3 linked regions of the Alligator mississippiensis genome follow. The protein of the gene in region 1 purifies or fractionates together with the protein of each later gene. This does not show direct contact. Links are inferred from orthologs where the notes say so. Each region holds a gene or a part of one and is shown on either strand. Other genes may lie near its edges.

What was found. Proteins that work in one complex are often made in the same cells at the same time.
Region 2: the proteins of VCP (region 1) and SVIP purify together in Homo sapiens (affinity purification with western blotting; 3 studies listed by BioGRID and IntAct, with this or other methods). This does not show direct contact. The link is inferred for Alligator mississippiensis from reciprocal best matches to the Homo sapiens genes VCP and SVIP.
Region 3: the proteins of VCP (region 1) and PPP1CC purify together in Homo sapiens (affinity purification with western blotting; 3 studies listed by BioGRID, with this or other methods). This does not show direct contact. The link is inferred for Alligator mississippiensis from reciprocal best matches to the Homo sapiens genes VCP and PPP1CC.

Annotation. Positions count from the first base shown.
Region 1 is NC_081826.1:300,918,651-300,926,059, reverse strand, and holds the start of VCP (transitional endoplasmic reticulum ATPase), read left to right. Parts: upstream 1-4,397; 5' UTR 4,398-4,492; coding exon 4,493-4,509; intron 4,510-7,409. UniProt on the Homo sapiens protein: Necessary for the fragmentation of Golgi stacks during mitosis and for their reassembly after mitosis. Involved in the formation of the transitional endoplasmic reticulum (tER).
Region 2 is NC_081825.1:211,470,330-211,478,114, reverse strand, and holds the start of SVIP (small VCP/p97-interacting protein), read right to left. Parts: upstream 3,006-7,785; 5' UTR 2,944-3,005; coding exon 2,881-2,943; intron 1-2,880. UniProt on the Homo sapiens protein: Negative regulator of the ER-associated degradation pathway (ERAD) of misfolded proteins. It competes with AMFR/gp78 for binding VCP/p97, and inhibits AMFR/gp78-VCP/p97 complex formation that is required for degradation of ERAD substrates.
Region 3 is NC_081833.1:3,270,208-3,277,095, forward strand, and holds the start of PPP1CC (serine/threonine-protein phosphatase PP1-gamma catalytic subunit), read right to left. Parts: upstream 3,006-6,888; 5' UTR 2,918-3,005; coding exon 2,863-2,917; intron 1-2,862. UniProt on the Homo sapiens protein: Protein phosphatase that associates with over 200 regulatory proteins to form highly specific holoenzymes which dephosphorylate hundreds of biological targets.

The DNA of each region.
Region 1 (7,409 bases):
GACAAGCTGCACATCATCCCCATCTCCATCCCCAGTCAGCCTGACCAGCAAACACCTTCCATAAGGAAAATTTAGCAAGTTTGGGGATGGGAAGGGGTGGGGATGGCTGTGCAAGGTGTGGGATAGTCTGATATCGGGGTGATACGGCTGGGACGGGAACCCCCAGATCAGGATGTGGAGCAAGCTCCTGGTACACAACAGCTTAAGACATTCAAAATCCAGGTGGGAAGTAGGACGACATTGGTTTTAGGCCTGTATAGAAGGAGAGTTAGAAATGACGGGGACCTGGTACTAGCCCAGGGGAGCCTACATGGTGCACTTTGTCACGGGCACACGTGTGTTAACGCCTTGTGCAGCAGATCACAAGTGTGTTATGGCCGTGCCTTGAGACAAGAAACCTGGCTGAGCCTTTGCCACCGAACCGAGCCCGTGGTAATTTAAGAGAGGACTGGTGTTGGGATCTCCTGGCTGTGACGCAGCCCGAGACTTCGATAATGCCCGGTGAGGACAGCGATGAGCGAGCCCCTGCCTCTCCGAGCAAATTAGTCTCTGAGGTGCCACCCTGCCCTGCCTTCTGCTTGGCAAGCCGTGGCGCAAAACCAGCCCATGTTCCAGCAGGGCGTGTGTCTGTCCCTGCCCTTAGATGTGCCAGCACCACGGAGAGAAACCGGCCGGTGCCCGGAGCAGGGCCAGCTGTCTTGGTTCTCCCGCTGGGCACCTCTCCAGGCCAGGACCTGGCAGGATGCTTCCCTGTGGGGGCTCTTGTCCGGCCCGGCTTTCCTCGCCCCTGCACGCAGGGAGGAGAGGCCTGGCCCAGGCACCCTGCGGGGCAAGGCGTAGAGCTGGGGGGCGTCAGCTGTGAAACACTCGGCCAACACCCCGGGGCTGTTGTGCCAGGGCTCTGTGTGCGTAACGGTGCCACGGTGCCGGATGGAGGGCATCCGGGGGCAGTCTGCAGGGCAGCGTGCAGGGTCTCTCCATCCCGTGCGGGTGTGTGTCTGTGTGTCCCACGGATAGTGGGGGGGTGTCACTCCTACTGTTAGTGGGGTGTGTGTGTCACCCCCACTGATAATGTGGGGGGAATGTGTCACCCCCAGTGATGGTGGGTGGGTGGGTGTGTGTGTGGTTGTGGCTCTCAGGGACAGTGGCGTGTGTCTGTGTATGTTCCCACTGACAGTGCTGCACGGGGGTGTTAGTGTGTGCATCTCCCAGGGACCGTGGGGTGCGTGTGTGTCAGTCCCACTGATGGTGTGTGTGTGTGAAAGACACTCCCCTGCCCCACAGCTGGCTGGGCCGCCTGTGCTGCAGGGCAGGAGGTGTCGGCAAGTGCATCCTCCTCCACATTGCCCCCCGGTGCAGTGGCACTGCCAGGCCCCCATCACGCTGGGCACTGCCCGAACCCCAGGGCTGGCGGGGTGCTACGCTGAGCTGCTCCCAGCGTGAGCGAGGTGGTGGAGAGGACCCAGGCTCCCTGAACCCGTCCGCGAGGCCGTGTGGCACCTGGCTGGTGACGGCACCATGTGGGAGCGGCTTGGCTGGGACGTGGCGTGGGCTCGTGGGAACAGCCAGCAGGCACCTGGCAGCCTCGGGGAGCTGGCACGCACACGCCTGGTCTGCGCTGCCATCTGCCAGGCAGACAGCAGTGTGTCACAGCAGCGCCCATGGCTTGTCACGCCGAGAACGCGGCCCAGGGACAGCACCTGGCAGAGGGGAAGTAAGGGGCTTGCTGCTCCCCAGCTGGCTAGTGCCAGGGCATCCCGGCTGGGGGTGGCACCAAGCAGGACTGGTCTCAGTGCGGGAGACGACAGGACAAGGAGCAATGGGCACAAGCTGCAGCAAGGGAAGTTGAGGTTGGATATTAGGAAAAACTTCCTCACTAGGACGGTGGCGAAACCAGCTCTCCAGAGAGGCACCGACCTGCCTCGTCCCCAGCCCTGAGGACGATGACTCCAGGATACATCTGAGCACCCCGGCCCGGGGGAGTCTCTGCGCAAGGTCTTGCAGACTGTACCAGGCCCACGTCTGAACTCAGTCAGTTGAGTTTCCTTTGTCTCTCGTGGCCAGGGCTCTTCCAGACTCCACACCTTTCTTGCAGCTCTTCTCTGAGCCCCGCTCAGTTTATCCATATCCCTCCTGTGGGGCTGGTACCAGAACTGTGCCCCGGGTCTGACTGGTAATGGTCTCACCGATACCACATCCGCGCCCTTCCCCTGCTTGCACCTCAACGGCTTAATCTGTTCCTTGCTGCGCTGGCAGCCCCAGCGCTCCTTGCTTATGAATCACGGTCCCCAAATCCTTTTCAGTCGCTGCCCTCGAGGAAGCTGAACTACAGCCCTTGCTCCTGGATGTGCACGTGTGTTTGTCCATGTTCAGACAAGGAGCTCAGCTCCCCGAGCAATCCGGGTTGGGCTGCACAGCTGCCCAGTTACCATTTTTAAACATCAATTTACCTTGTCTCTAAGTTTAATGAGCTATTATTTTCTTCTGGAATAGGGTGAATGGGGGACTGATCTGTACAGGGCTGGACTAGCATCTCCCCACTGGGTGAAAATGATTTCCCAGCTACTTTTTAAGTCCACTGGTTTATAATCGAGGTACTGTGAGCTGCCTTGGAATCGCAGAGCAGGAGGGTGGAAGGGAGCTCAGGAGGTCACATCCAGTCCAACCCCGGCTCCAAGCAGGACCAGCCCCAGCTACATCATCCCAGCCAGGGCTTTGTCTACCCGGGTCTTCAACACCTCCAAGGATGGAGACTCCTCCACCTCTCTAGGGAGCCTGGTCCAGTGCTTCACCACCCTCCTTCTGAGAGAGTTTTCCTTTATATCCAACCTCAACTTCCCTTGCTGCAGCTTGAGCCCATTGCTCCTTGTCCTGTCGTCTGCCCCCATGGAGAACAGCCCAGCTCCATCCTCTTTGCACCCCCCTGCAGGGAGGTGAAGGCCGCCGTCAAATCCTCCCTCGGTCTTCTCTTCTGCAGACTCAATCAGCCCAGGTCCCTTGGCCTCTCCTCACCAGTCCTGTCCTCCAGCCCCCAACCATTTCCATTGCCCTCCACTGGACTCTCTCCAGTGTGTCCACAGCCTTTCTGTAGTAGGGCCACAGCTGGACACAGGACTCCAGATGTGGTCTCCCTGGTGCTGAATAGAGGGGAAGGAATCACTGCCCTCCATCTGCTGGCAGCGCTCCTACCGATGCAGCCCAGGACGCCGGTAGCCTTCTTGGCACCAAGGGCACACTGCTGGCTCCTGTCCAGCTTCTTGTCCCCTGTCCCCCCAGGGCCTTTTCTAAAAAGCTGCTGCCCAGCCCGTCACCCCAGCCTGCACCGGTGCAGGGGTGCAGGACTTTGCACTTGTCCTTGTTGAACCTCATGCGATTCCTCTTGGCCCAATCCTCCAGTGTGTCGAGGTCTCTCCGAATCCCAGCATTGCCCTCCAGCGTATCTACTGCTCCCCCCAGCTCGGTGTCGTCTGTGAACTTGCGGAGGGTGTGCCGCATCCCATCTTCCAGGTCACTGATGAAGATGTTGAAGGAACCCGGGCCCAGGACCGACCCCGGGGCGCTGCACTGGTGTCCGTCTGCCTCGACTCGGCACACGCTGGCTTTTCACACCCCGCACGGCTTGCCCTGCCCTGCGCCTTGCAGGAGTCGAACGCAGGAAGCTGCCAGTCTCTTTGCGAAGCCGACGCGTCCCCACAGACAGCGGCAGGAGTAGCCGCGCTTGCCGACGTGCCGTGACGTGTGCTCCCCGCCGTTGAGTGATGCCTGCCCGTGGCCCACAACTGCTCTTCCACCGTGTTGTGCAGAAGCGACATCCCTTGGCGCTGCCACCGCCCTGTCCCTGCTCCCCAGCGCAGGGCCGCAAGGCACAACCCCTTTGCCGTGTGTCTGAGCACCCTGGACAGCCGGTTCAGTGCCAGGGGCAAGGGCCATAAGCACCCTGGGTGCAAGAAGGGGTGCACACCCCTCAGCCTGTGCAAGCCCCTGCCCCTGCATGGCCCTGCTGCACCCCTGCCCTGGGCCCTCGAGCCCCTGCAGCACGTGTCTCCCTAGAAGGATCAGCAGGCCTGTCAATCATCGCGCCGCCTTCCCTCATTGGCTGACTCCCTGGGCAGCAGCCAATGGAGCGGGGCTCACTAGGCAGAATGACGAAAAGGGCGGCCCCCACGGGCCGATTTTTCCCATTGGCGCATTTTTCCCATTGGCCGATCCGCGCCGCGTTGCCGGGCAGAACAACGCACCTGGCTCCGCGCGCACCCATTGGCGGCGCGGGACCGGGAGCCGTTGGATGATTGGCTCTTTTTTCCCATTGGCGGAGGCGCCCCGGCCCCGAATTTCCGATTGGGCGCGGCCGCCGGTTGCTAGGCAGACTGCGGCGGGCGGAGCTTCCCCCGCCGATGAGTCGGCGCTGAGGCGCAGTCAGAGCCGAGCGCCCGCAGCTGCCGCCGCCAGAGCCCGAGCCCATCCCTGCCTGCCGCCGCCCGCCACCGCCGCCATGGCCTCGGGATCCGAGTGAGTGCAGGGCCACCCCTAGGCCTCTCCCCGCGCCCCATTCTGAGGGGCCCCCGCGCATGCGCACTGCCACGCGCACCCCGTTCTGAGGGGCCCCCGCGCATGCGTACTTCCCCCGCACCCCGTTCTAGGGGGCCCGCGCGCATGCGCACTCCCCCCTCCCTGCACCCCGTTCCGAGGGGCCCCGCGCATGCGTAGCGAGGGCCGAGGCCTGGGCCCGATCCCGCTGTGTCATGCAGGCCCGGGAGGGGGGGCGGGCCCGGCGCTGCTCCGCCCCCAGGTGGGGGAGGGGCGTGCGGCCTAGGCCTTGGCCTGGTGTGCGTGTCCCACGGCCTGAGCCTGCTCCTGCTTCCTGGGGGGTGCAAGGGATGGTTTTGGCCCACGCTGAAGCCACCCCCCTGCTCCAACTCATCCTCCTTTGTCTGCCGGGGCCTCAACCCCCCCAAGGGTGGAGCCTGCACCCCTCCTCGGGGGAAACCCCTTCCTCATTTAACCTCGACTTTCCTTGCTGCAGCCGAAGCCCATTGCTCCCCTGTCCTGTCCCGCGCCGCGCCGCGCTCTTTGCAGCCCCCCAGCAGGCTGCCGTTCGAGCCCCGCTTTGGTCCTCGGACTTCAATAAATGTTAGGGGTTCGCCCGGCCGGCGCCCCTAGACCAGCTTCGGGGGGGAAGCCGCGTCGCGTGCGCGGTGTTTGTGTAAATATAGCCTTCTCCGTGGAGCAGCGAACGGGCGCCCGGCGGGAGCGATGCGGTCGAATCGGTCGATGCGAAACGGTTTACCGGCACGGAGAGGTCGAAACTCGTGTCAGGTTCGTTACGGAAAGCCGGCCTCCGCCGGCTCGGATACGACGTTGTCCCGTCTCCGTTCGCCGGGCGACGTCGCTGTCAGGAGACCGGCCGACCGGCGCTGGAAACGTCTCTTGTGTCCCCCGCACGTGGTCGCGCTGCGAACCGTACCGCAGCGCAGCCTGGGTTGCGTCACCTACGGGGTAAAGCAACAGCTTTACCACGGGGCAGATGATCGGCGGCATCATCGTTAAGTCTTTTTTTTTTCCCCTTCTCTTTTTGGCAGACAGAGCTTCCCTTGTAAAGGAAGGGACGGGGGTCTCTGAATGGGGAAACGCGGGGTTTAGGGCTGGGACCGTTCTGCCCAGAGCTGGGATCGGGCACTGGTTGGACTGCGCCGCTCGGGGGGTTACGGCCGGACCCCTGGACGGCGCTAGGGAGAGGGATGGGCGCGTGCCGTGCGCGCTACGCTTCGGACCTACGCATCTCTAAAACCAAAACGGCACGCCTGTCGCAGGCCTCCACGAGAAAAGAAAGCGACGATTCGTGCGTCGGCACGGGGCTTTTTGGAGCTGTCAAGCTCTCGGTCCCTCTGATTCTCCTCTCTGGGTGAAGCAACGTTTTCACTTTCGCAAGAAGCCATGATGCGACCCGCCTGACTTCTCACTTCCTTTCTGTGCGCCCATTCATCCTCCACCGCATTTCTGAGCTGAGGTGGCTTGCAGCTGGCCCCGTTCGTCTGGATGAACACGTGCCAGCATTTGGCATCCTCTCCAACTGTTAGTGCACCCAAGCCTTTCGCTCGCTGTGTGAGCTGCCGTGCGCCCCGTAACCTGCTTCGTCTGGCTGGTAGCGTCTCTTCTCTCTGGATTGTGCAAGTTCAAAGTCCTTCAGTGTGAAAACTCTCTTCCTCTGATGAATTAGCTCATGTTGACTCAAGTTAGGTGTCACCTGCCAGCGTGTTGCTCAACCCCCGGTGCGCTGAATGATACTTGAGCCTTCTCACAATCCTTCCCAAGTTTTTCATTTCTCATCGCTGTCTTGTCTCTGAGCTTCAACTCGCTGCCTGTTTCCTTTTCTGTTTTTGTAACGTATACGCGATGCCGGCCCCACAGTACCAACCCCAGACCCCCGCAGCCAGCCTTTGTGTCCTAAGAGACAGGCTGTGATTTGCAGTGGTGCCTTGGGTTGCTCCAGTAGATCGAGTCGTATCAGAGGGTCCTCGAGTGTACGTGCTCTGTACAGGGGGGGCATGACTTGCATTCAGGACTCCTCCCTGGTTGGAGAGGACTGTATCCCTTCTGTTGCAGAACTTGTGCTGGCTTTGTTCCCTGCGGTGATGTCACTTCGCAGCGCTCTCCATTAGCCAGCCTGAGGCTTGCCATCGATCGCCTCAGTACCACAGCGAGCTTCTTTGGTTTCTGACTTACAGGATCTCTCTTGGCTCCATCAAGTTCGTGGCTCTAAAGTTTAGCCGCTCTGAACTTCCCATCCTCCAGAGGAGGTGTGGCTCATGGAGAGCCTGCATCTCATTAGCTCACCTGTTGCTTCACCTGATGAGCTTAGCTGGCTCCGTAGCTTGCACATCTTGGGTTTCTTGTTTCGCTGTGTTACGATGGTCAGGACTGCCTGGGTGGGCTGCTGCTGCAATCAGTCCCATCTACAGTCACAACCAGCAGCCTCCCTATTTCTAATGAACGTCTGTCTGGGAATCGTGTGTGGCAGGTTCAGAGCAGCGCGTTGACACTCCTCCCTTACCTGGAGAGTTGAGAGGAGCAATCCAGTTATGAAGGAGCCGAAACACGCTCTGGGAAAAGTGACTTGTCCAGAGCTGCCCACACAGAGGCTCCTGCTTCCTGGTTCAGTAGGGTTTTTCCTTTTAGAATAGCTCTGCCCCTTTCTCCTTGCTGAGTCCTGCCTCTTACTTCCTAATGCTTTGCTCAGGCCAGCTTCCCAAACTGTTTCTAGATGGGCCAGCTGCCTTCATGTTCATCCTGTGAGAGTCTTTCTGAAGCATCAGGGTAGGGGGTCACTACCTCATTCGTTATCTGCTTCATCATCGCATTGGTGTGACTCTCCGGAGACCTCGCACCTGTCTGTCGCAGTAAAATATCTC
Region 2 (7,785 bases), on another chromosome or scaffold:
TGATGGATCTCTGATGCCTCATGTGAAATGACTTAATTTCAGTAAGGCTTCTATGTAGCAGGTGTCTCACAGAGCAACCGAAAAATAGACACAAATACCCTCTCCTTGAAAAGTCATCCCTCCAAAATGTTCATCCTGCAGTAGGTACTTTTGAGCAGATCAGATCTACTCCACTGGTTTTGTTCTGTTTGATTTATGATGTGAGGTTGCAATCATACAATAAATGAAAGAAAAGTATGGAGCAAAGGACCATAGCACATTTGCCAACAGTTTAAAATAATAGTAACAGCTTTCTAAGCTTTAACAACAAATATTTAAAGGGAGGTTCCCTTAAACTGACCAATTTAAGAAAATCTATTTAATGGTAAAGTACATGTATAAATGGATTTTTTTCTTAAATATCTATTTTTCAGTTAGGAAACATTTTAGTTTTTTTCAACCTCCAGGATTTTTATCATCTCCCCATCAAGAATCATAGATGTTGATGGCAAAAACATATGAAAGGTTTGTAGCATGAGCTCAAGTGACTGATACATGTCCCATGAAACTCAAGATGAAATTGGGGGTCTGGAGGGAGGGAGGGAGGAGAGGAGGGAGCAAGATGTACTTTCCCACCAACTATTTTTAAGTGGAATAACAACTAACAGCAGTTATCAACCTTTTTGGACTCAAGCCATCCTTGGAGGACCCTTCCAGTCTTACTTCTATATAACACCCTCTACACATTACAGGTATTGCACGATTAAATGGTTAATTACACAATTACCTTAAGGCCAACTACACGTGTAAAGTATTAATTACACAGAAAAAAGTTCCAACCAGTTATAAAGTTAGATCTTGAAAATGCGTACTAACTTTATAGCTGGTTGCTACTGAACTTTTATTTGCACTTGTAGCAGGGTCTCTCTTCCTTGTGGCTGGGAGCCCCATCAGCTGACAGGCCTCCTGACCGCAGAAGTGCACCATACCTAGTATATGTATATACCTACACCCCAGGGTCCTGGGGGATCACGACAGCCGTGAACCCTAGGGCCTGGGAGTTTCACACACCCCTGAGCCCTAGGAATTGTGGCAGGGATTCACACACCCTTATGCCTTGAAGATTGCAGCTGCTGTGATCCCCCATGGCTGGAAGCCCCCCAACTGAGGGGACACCCAGCAGCAAAAGGTTGCCTCCAGCAATAAGGCGCGATGGGATTTAATGTACGATCCCCTAATCGTGCCTGCTGCCATGCACGTGCAGCATGACAAGAGGTGCGCTTGTGTGTATCATGCCTTAGATCCCATCGTATTTTTACCTGCATGTGTGGAGGGGGCCTATGACTTCTCTATGACTCTGCAACTTATGTGAACTGCGGCTTCTTACAGACATGAAAAAAAATAAAATGAGCACATTAAGGTTGGTACACCCCTGCACCAAGCACAGCTCATGCCCAGAAGAGGTATTTCATTAGTTTGACCTGGCTCACCCAACATCTGTATAGATCAGGAGCTCCAGTGGGGCTTTTTGGTGCTTTTAGTGAATAGCTGATTGAACCAGCTTTAGATAAAAATGCCAAAAAGCCTCACTGATACGCCTGATCTATACAGAGGCTGGGCAGCCAGGTCAAACTAATGTGCTTCCTCTTCTGGTAAAGCGCTATTTTTTTTTTCATGTCTGTCAGCAACCCTAATGGCACATCATTTCACAAAACAGTTAATTGCTTACCATGTTTGCCTCCTTGCAGAGGGGACTGGCAGAGGGGATGGGGGCTCACCCCACTTGGGATAATCCTGCACCTGTGCTCCTCTGCTTAATTCATCTGCTTTCTAGGGAAGATGTTTCATGTCAAGGATCCCATGTTGGCAGGGGAAGTAGGAATCAAAAGCTAGTGAGTGGTGGACTCTGCATCCCTGGAGGTTTTTAAGACTGGGCTGGACAAAGTCTCAGCTGGGATGATCTAGTTGGGGATGGTCCTGCTTTGAGCAGGAGGTTGGACTAGATGGACCTCCAGAGGTCCCTCCCAACCCTAATTTCCTGTGACTTGTTGCAGCTGATTCGCTCTTACCTGGGTCTGCGAACAGTCTCAGAGCCCTCCTTGTCTTTCTTTTTCCACACCTGTCCCCCCACTAGCTTTTGATTCCTAGTGCCCCTGCCAACATGGGTCCTTGACATGAAACACCCCCCCCCCAGAAAGACAGACCTCCAGTCATTCACAACCCAAGTGTCTCCCCAGGGTGTCAGCAGATCTTTATTTATTTTTTTGGAAGGGCGGCAGGAGCGGGGAGATCAGGAAGGTGGTTAAGGGGAGAAGCAGATTAATTCAGCACAGGAGCACAGGTGCCCGCTTGTTTTTAAGACCCAGCTGGACAAAGCTTGGCTGGGATGATCCAGTTGGGGCTGGTCCTGCTCTGAGCAGGGGGCTGACTAGATGAGCCCCCCGAGGTCCCTTCCCACCCTCGTTTTGGATGAATATCTCTAACCTCAGCTCCCCTGGCTGCCACTGGAGACACTGCTCCTCGCCCTGTCACCTGCCACCAGGGAGACAGCCGGCGCAGCCCCATCTGTGCAGCCACCCTTCAGGCAGGGGCAGGCTGCTACCAAGTCCCCGCTTCTCTCAGTCGGGCTGAAACCAAGCCCCGTCCCCTCAGCCTCCCCTGCAAGGCCACGTGTTGAGTCACAGCCTTCAGCTTCCCAGCGCGGAATGACCTCCAGGACCCCCACACGGAGGTGAGGCGCGCGGGGGGTCCCCGCCGCTGAGGGAGGGGGCGGGGGGGGGTCCCGCCGGGCCGGATGAGCCGGGCGGGATCACCTGACATGGGGGGGGAGGGGAGGGGGCACGAAATAATAAACAGCGGCGAGAGGCGGGGACCGAGGCCCGGACCCTGCCCCGCACTTACCGGGTCGGGCGTCTCCACCACGTCCTCGGCGGCGCCCCCTAGACAGGGCAGGCACAGCCCCATGCCGCTGCCCCCCGCCCGCTCGCTCCACCGAGCCAGCGAGCGAGCAGCGCCCGCGCCGCGCCGCCCCGCCCCGCGCCGGGACCCGCACCCCGACCGGCACCGGGCACGGCGCCACCTGGCGCCCTGGAGCCGCCGCGGCCTGGCACCGCCCAGCACTGCCCCGCGGGCCGCCCGCGCCTCTAACCCCGGGGGTTAGTCACAGACAGTGCGGAGCCGGGCGCGGGGACTGCGGGGGGCACGGTGCGGGGTACAGAGAATTTTTCCAGCAGTGCTGCTGGCACATGCAGGTGCCCCACTTGCGCTTCCTGGTTAGCCCTGTAATTCCTGCCCTGTAATTCTCATCCTCTATTTCGCGTTGTGTCCGGCTCTACTTAGTGCATTATAGTACGGAACACAGAATACATAGGACATTATGCATAATACATAGTACAGAATAGTACAGAATCCATAGTACATAGTAGTACAGAATACATAGTTGCATTATACATAGTACAGAATACACAGTACATTATACATAATACATAGTACGTAACAGTACAGAATACATAGTACATAATGGTATAGAATACATAGTACAGAATATGTAACACATAGTACAAAATACAGGCAACCCCCGCTGAATGCTGTTTTGCTTAGCACTCTTTTACTATAACACTCATTTTAAATTGATACCTGGTTTCACTTAGCACTCATCAAGTTTTGCAATAACACTCGTGGTCGCCATCTTGGGTCATTAAAAACAAATGCAGTCGCCATCTTGGGTCATCAAATACTTTCGGTGTCGCTTAGCATTTGTTTCGCTTATTGCTTGGATTTTCAGGAACCAATTAAGAGCACTAAGCGGGGGTTGCCTGTACATAGTACATAGTATAGAATAGTACAGAATACATAATACAAAGATTAGTGTTGGTCTAATAAAAGATATCATCTCTACCAGGAGTCCTGACTGATTAATACAAAGTACAGAATACATAGTACATAATAGTACAGAATACTTAATACATAGTACATTATACATAGTTACAGAATACATAGTACATAGTAAAAAATACATAATACAGTACATAGTACATAATATGTAGTACAGAATACATAGTACAGACTAGTACAGTATAGATAATATAGCACATTATACATAGTTACAGAATATATTATACACATACAGAATACAGAATATATTATACATAGTACATAGTACAAAATACATAATACAGTACACACTACATAATACGTAGTACAGAATACAAAATGGATAGTACAGAATAGTACAGAATACATAATACATAGTACATAATAGATAATACATACCACAGAATACATAATAGAGAAGTAGAGCCGGACAGCATCTCAAGAGGTCATGTAGTGCAGCGTTTCTCAATCCATGGGTAATGACCCAAAAGTAGATCGCAGGAATATATGAAAGGGTCCTGAACCCTCTAGGGAGTCCCTAGAGAGAGAGGCGGGGAGCCTGAAGGGGCAGGGTGGAGGTTATGGCATCATAGGGAAGCAGGGCTGGAAGAGACCCCCACAAAATGGGTCTAGTTACCTGCTGGAGGCAGGTTCATCCCTGACTAAACCATCCCAGAAAAGTGTCTGTCTGACCTGCTCTTGAAAACGTTTAAGGATGGAGAGTCCATAGTTTCTTTAGGAAGTCCATGCCAATGCTTTATCAGCCTCCTAGTCAGAGACCATCCCGCCATCTCCAACCTAATCTTCCCCTGCTGCAGCTTGCAGCCACTGCTCCTCATCCTATCCTGTACTGTCACAGAGAAAAACCCATTACAATATCCTTAGAGCAGGGGTGTCACCCTCGCCTCAAGGCCACCAACAGGATTCAGCCCATGGGGCACCTTGTGGGCATAGGCAGATTAATGCAGGCCTGCAGGGCCCAGCCCCAGGGGCCTCTGCTAATCAGGGGTCCCTTGATGCCTGGGTTCTCTTGGGAAACAGTGGGTTTCCCTAAGCACATGGGCAGCGTTCTAGCCTGCAAGGGGTCCTGCTTGGGGCTGCCAAGAGTGAGACGCAGGGGGCACTGCATGCATGTGTGTGCGGCCACATGCATGCACATGGCCAGGAATGCAGCCCGGTAGCATGGAGAGCAACTCCCTGCAGGTAAGTGAGGAAAGGGTATGGGAGAGGGAAGGGGTGCAGGTGGTGCAGATCGAGGTCCCCATGATGAGAGAGGGAGTGGGGCAGGAGCTGGGGGCACTGCCCAGCATTGGCGATGCATAGGGGGTGCACCCTCTGAGATTGGCCATGCACCCCTTGAAGCACCAGCCATGAAACCAGAAGTGCATCCCTGGGACCCTTCCCCCCCAGTGGGGGAGGCACCCATGCTGCCCAGCCATGGTGGTGCATGGATTCTGAGGTGTTGCAGAGAGCAGAATGGAGCCATGCGTGGCTCATCCAGGGGGCACGGAGAGGGAGGGGGGACAGCTCCCTGCTGCGGCATGCACCCACTGGTGGTGGCATGGAGAGCATGTGCTCCCTCATGTTTGTGCACGTGGCAAATGTGGGCTGCTTGCTGTGGGCTTGGGGCTCTCCACTCTGCTGCCTTTTCCTTGGAAGCCTTGCAGTGGCCGTGCACCCCCTGCCCACCCAGCAGCAGTGGGGGCAACGAGTTATGCCCCCTGCTGCTGGATGGGCAGGGGGCACACAGCTGGTGCAGGGCTCCCAGGTTAGAGGCAACAGAGCTGAGAGCCCCAAGCCCACAGCAAGCAGCCCACATCTGCCCTTGCCCTGCTCAGATGTGCTGTGGATGCGGCAGGGGGGCAGGGAGCAGGGAAGAGAGGTAAGCATGTGCCACCTCACCCCCATCCTGGACCAGGTCTATCCAGCCTCCCCGGTGGGGCATGGAGTCCTGGCCTGCCCTTCGCAGTGGCAGCTGCAGGACAGGAAGGGGCCCCTCCTCCCACTGGAGTCCATACATTCATGGTTATAATGGGTGTGGGGGGCCTCCAATTTTCTATTTGCCCAGGGCTCCAATAAATCTCAATCCAACACTGCTGGTGGGTTGGATCCAAGCTGTGCAGGAGGGCAGCCGCAGCACTGGCAGTGATGTGATGCCCAGAGGCAGCAGCAGCATGAGGGAGGCAGGGGCGGAGGGTCCTGCTGAGGCAAGCCATGCTCAGTGCCAGTGGCCATGTGCCCAGCGGGGCTTAACTGATCACATTTCTAGTGCCCTCCAGGAGCCCAGTGGACTAGGTAGAAGCTCGACAGCTTAGACTGTACTAAGGGCACCTCAAATGTAAGCATCTGCCGGTTAAACCTCAGTAACTTTCTAGGCTTATATATGCCTACAGCTTACCATGAGTATTACCCATGCTTCTGGGCTTTGCTGGTTGCCCCCCTGCTTCCCTTGTCTGCTGTTTTTAAGTCTCCCTTGGAGGCACTGGGTGTTGGCTACAGCCAAGGTTGGGGACTTTGACTAGGATGTGTCAATGCTCCTTCTGGGAGCGAAGACAGAGGTTCCCGGCGGGGGGGGGGGGTTGCCCCTCTGCTCAGGGTCAGACTGATCACCATATTTGGGGTCAGAAGGAATTTTACCCCACGGTCAGATTGGTATGGACTGCGGGAGTTTTTGCCTTCCTCTGTAGTGAGCAGCGTGGCCCTCTACCTGGGAGCTCTCGAGGGTATATTGGCAACATTTCATAGAAGCAGGATGTTGGCTGCTGTGGTTCCCCTGCTTTATCTGTGGCAGGATAGGGTGCTAGGTCTGTGTTGTGTCAGGGTTGATGGTAGCCTTTTATGTAGAGTTTAGATGATAGATTGTACAGGATGGCTTGGATATCTATGATCCTGCCTCAGGCAGGGGGTTGCACTAGGTGACCTCTAGAGGTCCCATCCAGCCCTCCTTCTTTATGACTATATGACTAACTTGTGCTATGTGCCCTCTGAGTGCCTCAGAGTTCCTCCACTTCAGGTAAGGGGTTGGATGTGCTACCCAGCTCATGTGAGGGTAACTTCAGTCTGCTCCACAGAGATAAAACAACCAATTTGCAGTCCTCCAGCATCCTAGGATGCTCCCAGCGCCCCCTCCGTCCACAGCAGGGATGGAGCCCAGGTGTCCTGGCTCATAGCCACACTCCTGATTGTCAGCACTCTAGGGGCAGGGAAAGAAAAGCTGTGCAGACAAGAAACAGTATTAAACTTTGACATGCGACTGCTCATGGCATGTTCTAACTAATAACACTTAACATTGCACAGATTTAGTATGGCCTAGGAGTAGCATGTAACTTCATCCTTAGAGTGTTTATAGACATGGGTAGGGCTCTAGGAGGTGGCAGGGAGGGGCACTTTAATTAGCGCAGCTCCAAGAGCCACACTAATTAAAAGTACCTGGAACATCACATGTATCAGTGTCCCCCCACTGAAAAATAGCAGCAGGGAGCTTTGAACTAAAGCTCGTCAAATGAGCTTTAGTTTAAAGCGTCCTGCTGCCATTTTTCAGCACAGAGACGCTGATACACATGACTCTGGAGCCTGCTGGTAGGTAATCTCCTTGCTCCAGCAGACTTGATTAATGGAATTTGCTCCAACGTGCTGGAATTACAGCACATCAGAGCAGCCTCCCTGCACATATATAGGACCTCTTGGAGAATAACACACTCAGGAAGGCATGAGCTTTCATAGGTAACAGCATCTGATGAAGTAGGCTGTTGCCTATTAAAGCTTATGCCTTTCTGAATAAATCAGTCTCTAAGGTGCCACCCTGCCCTACCTTGCCCTATCTTACATTAATGTAAACCTTATTAGCTGTTTTCCTCGAGCCTCTGCCTTACTGAAATAATGTGGTAAATTTTGGGTGCAGACACACAACACATTTTTGTAGGTATAACACCT
Region 3 (6,888 bases), on another chromosome or scaffold:
AATGTTAGACAAAGTACGTTTCTGTTTTTGTCAATCTTGTATATTTTGAATGTGCAAATATAATCTGATCCAAGATTACGCAGGCATCATAGAAAACTGCATAACTAAATTCAACTAGTGTTACAATCTAGATTTTCATAAAAAAGCTATCATGACAAAAGCTGGGGTTTGTTTCTTGAGACAGAAATAACAGCTACATTATTGGCAAATATTATTTTTAAAATAGTAGGTTACTCCCAGTTTTCATCTTCCACTTAGTCGTTTTACTGTGCTTTAACAATTAAAGTAAATGTGTCCTAGTTATGTTACTCTAGTCTTACGCTATTTGTCTGAGACCTAAAGTGTATCATAAATACCAAAAACAATGTTTTATGGCCCAGCACTTTGATGTGAAGAGTGCCATGAAGTTTCTTCACCAACTTTAGGTTTAATTAGCTGTTAAAGAAAGATGTTTAGCTTCAAACTACCCCATTCATATCTTTAAAGTTTATTAACAGATTTATCTAGAATCACTACCGATTGCCTACAAGAATGCATGAGTATGTTGTCTGGGATCAAACATGTGAAATGTCTTGTTACTAAACAGAGTGCTTTGTAGCATTCACGGTGATGGACTATGACATTTAGTTAAGGGAGAACCCACTCTGAAGGCACACACATCTAAGGAAATCCAATTTTGGGGTGTACCATAGTGTGTACACCCAAATGAAAACTAGCAGTTGCGTGAAAGTTCAGTCATGCTACCAAAACTATAGTTATAATTGGAGGAGGAATTTGCTCTGAGAACAAAGATTGTTTTTGAAGAGGAAGTGGGGAAGGATGTGATAAAAACAAATTAAGAAATAGCCACTGAAAGAAACAGAGTATAAAGAGTATTTACATCAACTTTTAAAAAAGTTGAACTTAAAGTATAAAAAAAAAGTTTGTCAACTACAAAGCAATGCCCATGCTCCTCTCTAAATTTATGGGGAGGGGGGGACAATCAAAACTATAGACACAGTGTATTTTGCAAAACACAATTTACCTTGTAAATCTACATAATTTGCTGGTTGGGCCTTTGGGGAGGTCGGAGTGTGAAGGTTGCTCTCTCAAAACGGTCTGTAAGAGCTTGCTAACAAGACCCTTCAATATAAGCACTTGCTGGAGCTTGTTTGAGCCCAATAACCTCCTGCCTGTGGCAAGGGACCGGACTTGAGGATCTTACAGGTCCCATCCCGATTCTAAAAAAAAAAAAAATCAGTTTTTTTCCTTGCATTTAAAACAAATGCTACTTGACCAAATTCAAAAAGAGGTCTTTTGGTTCTCCATTTGTAAAAAACATAATAAATACAAACAAGAATCCCATGTTATTGAGGTTATGCACGGAACAGCAATCAAGCCATGACAAGTAATTGCTGTGTAGCTTATAACACAAGTGGGTGTTAATATGCAATATACTAAACAACCATCAAGAGGGGCCTGCACCTCATCTTATACGAGGTCCCTTCCAGCCCGAACGTCTAGGAAGTCTATAACACTAGTTGATGTGAGAACTGCCATTAATATTTATAAGCATTCATATTTCTGTTCATACTTGGAGACAGTAACAACAAGGCTATTCAAGACATCCAAGGAACATTTGGACACTGATCTTGGTGGGATCCTTTGACCCATGAGGCAGGAAGTCAGCTGGGGGTCAAGAAATATTTGGACATTTACCTTGCTGGGATCCTTTGACCCCCAGCTGACTTCCTGGCCCTGGGGTCAAGAAATATTTGGACGCTGATCTTGCTGGGATCCTTTGACCCCCCCCCAGCCAGCTTCCTACCGCTGGGGGTCAAGAAACATTTGGACGCTGATCTTGCTGGGATCCTTTGACCCCCCCCAGCCAGCTTCCTACCGCTGGGGGGTCAAGAAACATTTGGACATTTACCTTGCTGGGATCCTTTGACCCCTAGCTAACTTGCTGGCCCTGGGGTCAAGAAACATTTGGACGCTGATCTTGCTGGGATCCTGTGACCCCGACCGACTTCCTGCCCCGGGACAGAGGGCTGGACCCAGCAATATTACGAGGTCCCTTCCAGCCCCACCGTCCACGAAAATACTATTTCGAGCCTTAGCAAAGAGTCGAGGGTTACCCGAAACAACTCTAGTTACGACCGCTGGAACGGCAGGAATACAGGGTTCAAGTTCGGCGGCTCTATTGAGGCATCTTGTTAGCGAGCTCGCGGAGAGAGCAACCTTCCCGTGGACAGCCCAGCCAGCGACGAGACGCGTTACTAGTTCAATACGACTGGCTTTTCCAAGACGCCCACCACCACGGACGTTTCGGGCGAGGAAAACGCGGCCAAACACGAACGATAATCAAGACTCGCGCGCAAAACAACTTCTGAACGACTTGCTGCCCTTTCCCGGGTCCGTTTGGGGCTCAGTCAAGAGTCAGAGACCTACTGCAGCCCCCCAGCACTGGCACGGAGGAGGGGGGAAGACCCCCAAGACGGATGTATTTCTTATTCTTTGTCCCTACAGCACCCCCACCCCGCTTTTGCATCACGCAGGTCGTTTATTTCCAGAGAAATGCTGCAAAGCAGCAAGAGAGGGCAGCCCGGGGGGCAGGTTTCTCCCACCTGGCTCCAAACCCTCGGGGACTTTTGGCAGCGCAAGGGGGGGGGAAGGGGGAAGTTAAACCCCGGCGGGCCGGGCGGCGGGACACGCGGCTCCTTCCCCGCACGCGCAGTGCCGTGCCGTGCCGTGCCGTGCCACACGAGCCCCGAGCTGCGGCAGGGGCCCAGCGGCGCGCCTCACACCCCAATATTTGGGTCCCCTGAGGGTGGGGGAGGGGGCAGGAACGCGCGCGGGAACCACCCCCTTCCTCCTCCTCACCCTCCAGCAGCCGTTGGATGATGCTGTCGATGTTGAGCTTGTCGATATCTGCCATGGCCCCCGAGCGTCCCCTGCTCGCCCCGCGCAGCGCCGGCGCCGAACAAAATGGCCGCCGTCTCCTCAGCTAGCTGTGGCGGCGCACGGATCCCAGGCGCAGCGCCGCCCGGCCGGGACGCCTTTATAGGCAGAGCGGCGGGAAGAGCGTCCGAAGCACCGGATCCTTCCGCCAGAGGGGCGGGGCGAGGGGCGGAGGGACTAGGGCCGCCCAGCAGTCGCCTCAGGGCGGGTGTAAGAGGCGGAGTGTGTCGGTTTTGCTCCGTTCCTTGCATCCTGCACTGGTGTGGGGTGACAACTGCGGCTTCGTGCAATAGCCCTCCCGGCTGGACACGCCTGGGAGTTGGAGCGGGTCAGTTTAGCGCGGGTTAAACTGAGCCATTAAGGAGGAAGTGGAGGAGGGTGGAAGGCCTGTCTCTCACAGTGGACCCCTGCTTCCAACAGCTGGATGTGCCCCTGGAGCAGCTCCCAGTGGACATTGCACGTCCTACCCCCTTCCTTCTCCAGCCCCCGGCCACCCAGGACCCCCACCCTGGGACAGGGGTGGGGGTGTATAGATTCACTGATACTATTTGACTCCACAGCCCCAACCTGGGCAGGGAAAAGCAGCCGGGGTTGGATGATGGCGCTTGTTGCGGGACTGGGGGGTTGGCGGTTGCATCTGTGAAATGGGTGTATCGACGGGACGGGCGCAGTCTGGAGCTGAGTTCGGTGATACAGCCCAGCCCCCGCCAGCCAGCAGGACTTGTCCAAGGGGAGAAACCACCTAAAAAAAATCAATTGTGAAACAGCAGGGGAGCGCGAAGCGGGGCCTAGTCGATTCGGATTCAGTCCGAATCGGGGGTCGGCGATTCGATTCTTTGACGCGTATTGCTTTCCCGGATTCGATTCATCCGAATCTGAAGATTCAATGCTGATTTGGAGAATCGGCGATTCGGACATAGACGCAGCTGATTCGATTTAGAGGAGATTCGACCCGATTCGGTGGCCGAATCTCAGAATCCGAATCGAATCGGAGAACCCTTTAATCTCTCCCAATCAAGGTGGGACCCTCCGAGTCAATTCGAACATACAGACAGCTTTAAATGTTTTTTCTAGGTGCCTCGAGGTAGCAGGCAGCTCGTGATCGCTGCGATGCTGGGGCGCGTGGAGTGTCCCACGGGAGTTGGGCCCCCACGTGCTCAACAGTGAACCCGGAAGTGGGCCAGAAGCCCCCCCGCATCCTCCCCGACTCGGCAATCGGCCATGGGAGGCCCCTGGGTGCACGCCGTGGGGGCGTGGGGGGGCCCCAGCACACTCCCCAGCAGGACCGGAAGTGAACCAGAAGCACTTCTGGTCCACTTCTGAGTGTGCTGGGGAGCCCCCCACGCTCCTGTAGGACGCCCCAGCATCACAGCGTTCACGAGCCACCTGCCACCTACACGTATGTAGAAAAAACATTTAAAGTTGTCTGTTTGAATCAATGCAGAGGGTCCCAATTGGATTCAGAGACATTAAAGAGTCCTCTGATTTGATTCGGATTCTGAGATTCGACTGCTGAATCGGGCCGAATTTCCTCTGAATTGAATTGGGAAACAAAGCTTTGCACAGCCCTACAAAACAGCTGCCCATGCCGACTCACTTAGAGTTCGTCGTGCTGGGGCTTGCCTTTCTTGGGGAAACTGTAGTGAAATCAAGTTGGGCTGGCACTTGAAATCCGGTCGTTATTCTGCATTCACTCCCTGCGCGGGGTAGTGGATTTGTGCACTTAGTGAACTGAGCTAAACCACATGCAAGCACTCCCCAGACAGAGCTATTCCACATGAGCCCTTCTGTGTGAACACTTTTATTTGAAGCTAAAAGAGCCTTTGTGCAGAATAGCCTCCATACTTTTAAATTCTCACCCTGGCTGATTTCACAGTAGCTTCCCTTGTGCAGACAAACCTTTATACATGTGAGTAACTTTATGCCCATGAACCTCATCGTGGAGCTGTCAGCATTTGCAGGATGCCTGCAAGGTGCTCAGAAATCCTCTGGAGACGACCACAGCAATCAACGTGCTCGTTTTTAGATAAGTTAGGTTTATTGCAGGGATTTCTTGTTTTATTCTGCATGCAGCAGCAACAAAATTGCAAGGCAGAGGCATACACAGTTAAAATCAGCCCAGAGATTGGAAAAAAAAAAATTACATTTGCAGGGAGTTGGCCTGTGCTGGCCTCTACTCTTGCTCACTTCTTTGCATCTCTGATTGAATATTGTTTAATTGGTTTATTTATTCTGAGTTTAATTTACAGGGATGACTGTGTCAGCTCAATTCCCGCCTCTCCTGCTCCTTTCTCTTGTGAATGCTGGATGCCTCACACTGACAGTTATATAATAATCATAACAGCTCATTATCTTGGTCAGGCTAGGGCAAAGTTCAGATTCACTGTGGTGATAAAGCAGGAGACGTGCCATCTCAGCACACCTTGGGCACTTGTACATGGTGTACAATAGGAAAGAAGCCAATAAGGAAAAAGCCTTTGCAGTAGTATAGATATGGACCATCTGTAGCACAGGCATTTGCCAATTATAAAATGCGACTTTATACTTTCCCAAGTGACTGCTTATGGTAATGAATGCACCTGAGCCAAATGCTAATCTCCATCCTACTGGTATCAATCCAAAGTAACCCCCTCAAAGAGAGTGAGGTTACTCCAGATTGATTTGTGTGACTCCATTCATAAGTTTACAGCTGTTTTCATGCTGCTCCTTCCCTTGGAACAGCTTCTTTATTCTTGCCTACTGTATGCCTTCCCTAACTGTCCCTGCTTTAATTCAGAGGGCCAAGTTTTGACATGCTAACTTGCCTTAACTCAACAGAGGTATGCCAGAAGAGGCCCTATACTTCCAGGGAATCCTTCCCATTTTGTCTTGCCAGTAATGTCTCTAGATCTTCTTGTAGTATTTCAGCATTTTCCATGGGCACGTATATTGTATCGGGTGCGCAGGTGTTCCTCTGGTCAGTTAAGTAGGTAATGAACAGTGACTAGAAGGTGTGTGTGTGTGTGTGTAAAAACCTGTACATATAAAACCTATATATATATATATATATATATTATATGACACATTTTTAACAACAAAACTTATAATTTTCTCTTGCTTCTCAGCTTTTTGGCTCAGGTCAAGTGCCTCAACCTCTTGTGGACTAAGATCAAATGGGGACATCTGAATCCCAGGATCTCTGGGCTTGGGCCTGCGCGTAGGATGCCTGCCCATGGATTTGAGAGTATCTGAAGTCCTGGGGTGAGAGTCAGGGATAGAGGATGCTTGCTGGCTGTAGCTCTGTACATGGTGTTTAGAATGATTGGGTTCTGCCTGCTCAATCTATATGGTTTTTGGAACTACTGAGTTCTGCTCAATTGATATAATTTGGAACTGATCTGGCTGATTTGACCTGGAACATGGACTATATTATTGTTGTTGTTAATAATAATAATAACAACAACAAATTATCATTTTGTCTCCCTTGGGGTTATCATTCAAGGTTTGAGCATCTTTTTTGAGGTTCTGAGTCCTTTTGACTTACGGATTTCCATAGGTAATGGCGGGGCTGAGCACTGTGCAGAAACAGTCTTTGAGGGCTCTGTCCTGCAATCATGGAAGTCAATGGGACCACTCACACATGTGAAAGTTGTTCGTGTGTGTTCAGGATTGGGCCTTTGTACTCTGAGTCAAACCATGTGCAGTGCAGAGCATCGTCAATTCCCTGTGGTCTTGGTGGAGGATAGGGAGCATCCTTTTCAGAATCAGACCCTTTTCTGCCAAGTCCTTTCTTACATTTACATTGCTACACGAACCTTGTTTTAATAACAATACATAATTCATATGGATCGAATGCATGCTGAACTACAGTTATTAAAAAGCCACTTTAAAATTAAATATTTTTAAATGAGCTAATTTTTCTTTGCAGAAAATGGCAACGTCCCCCAACAACAGTTTCACTGATGAAAA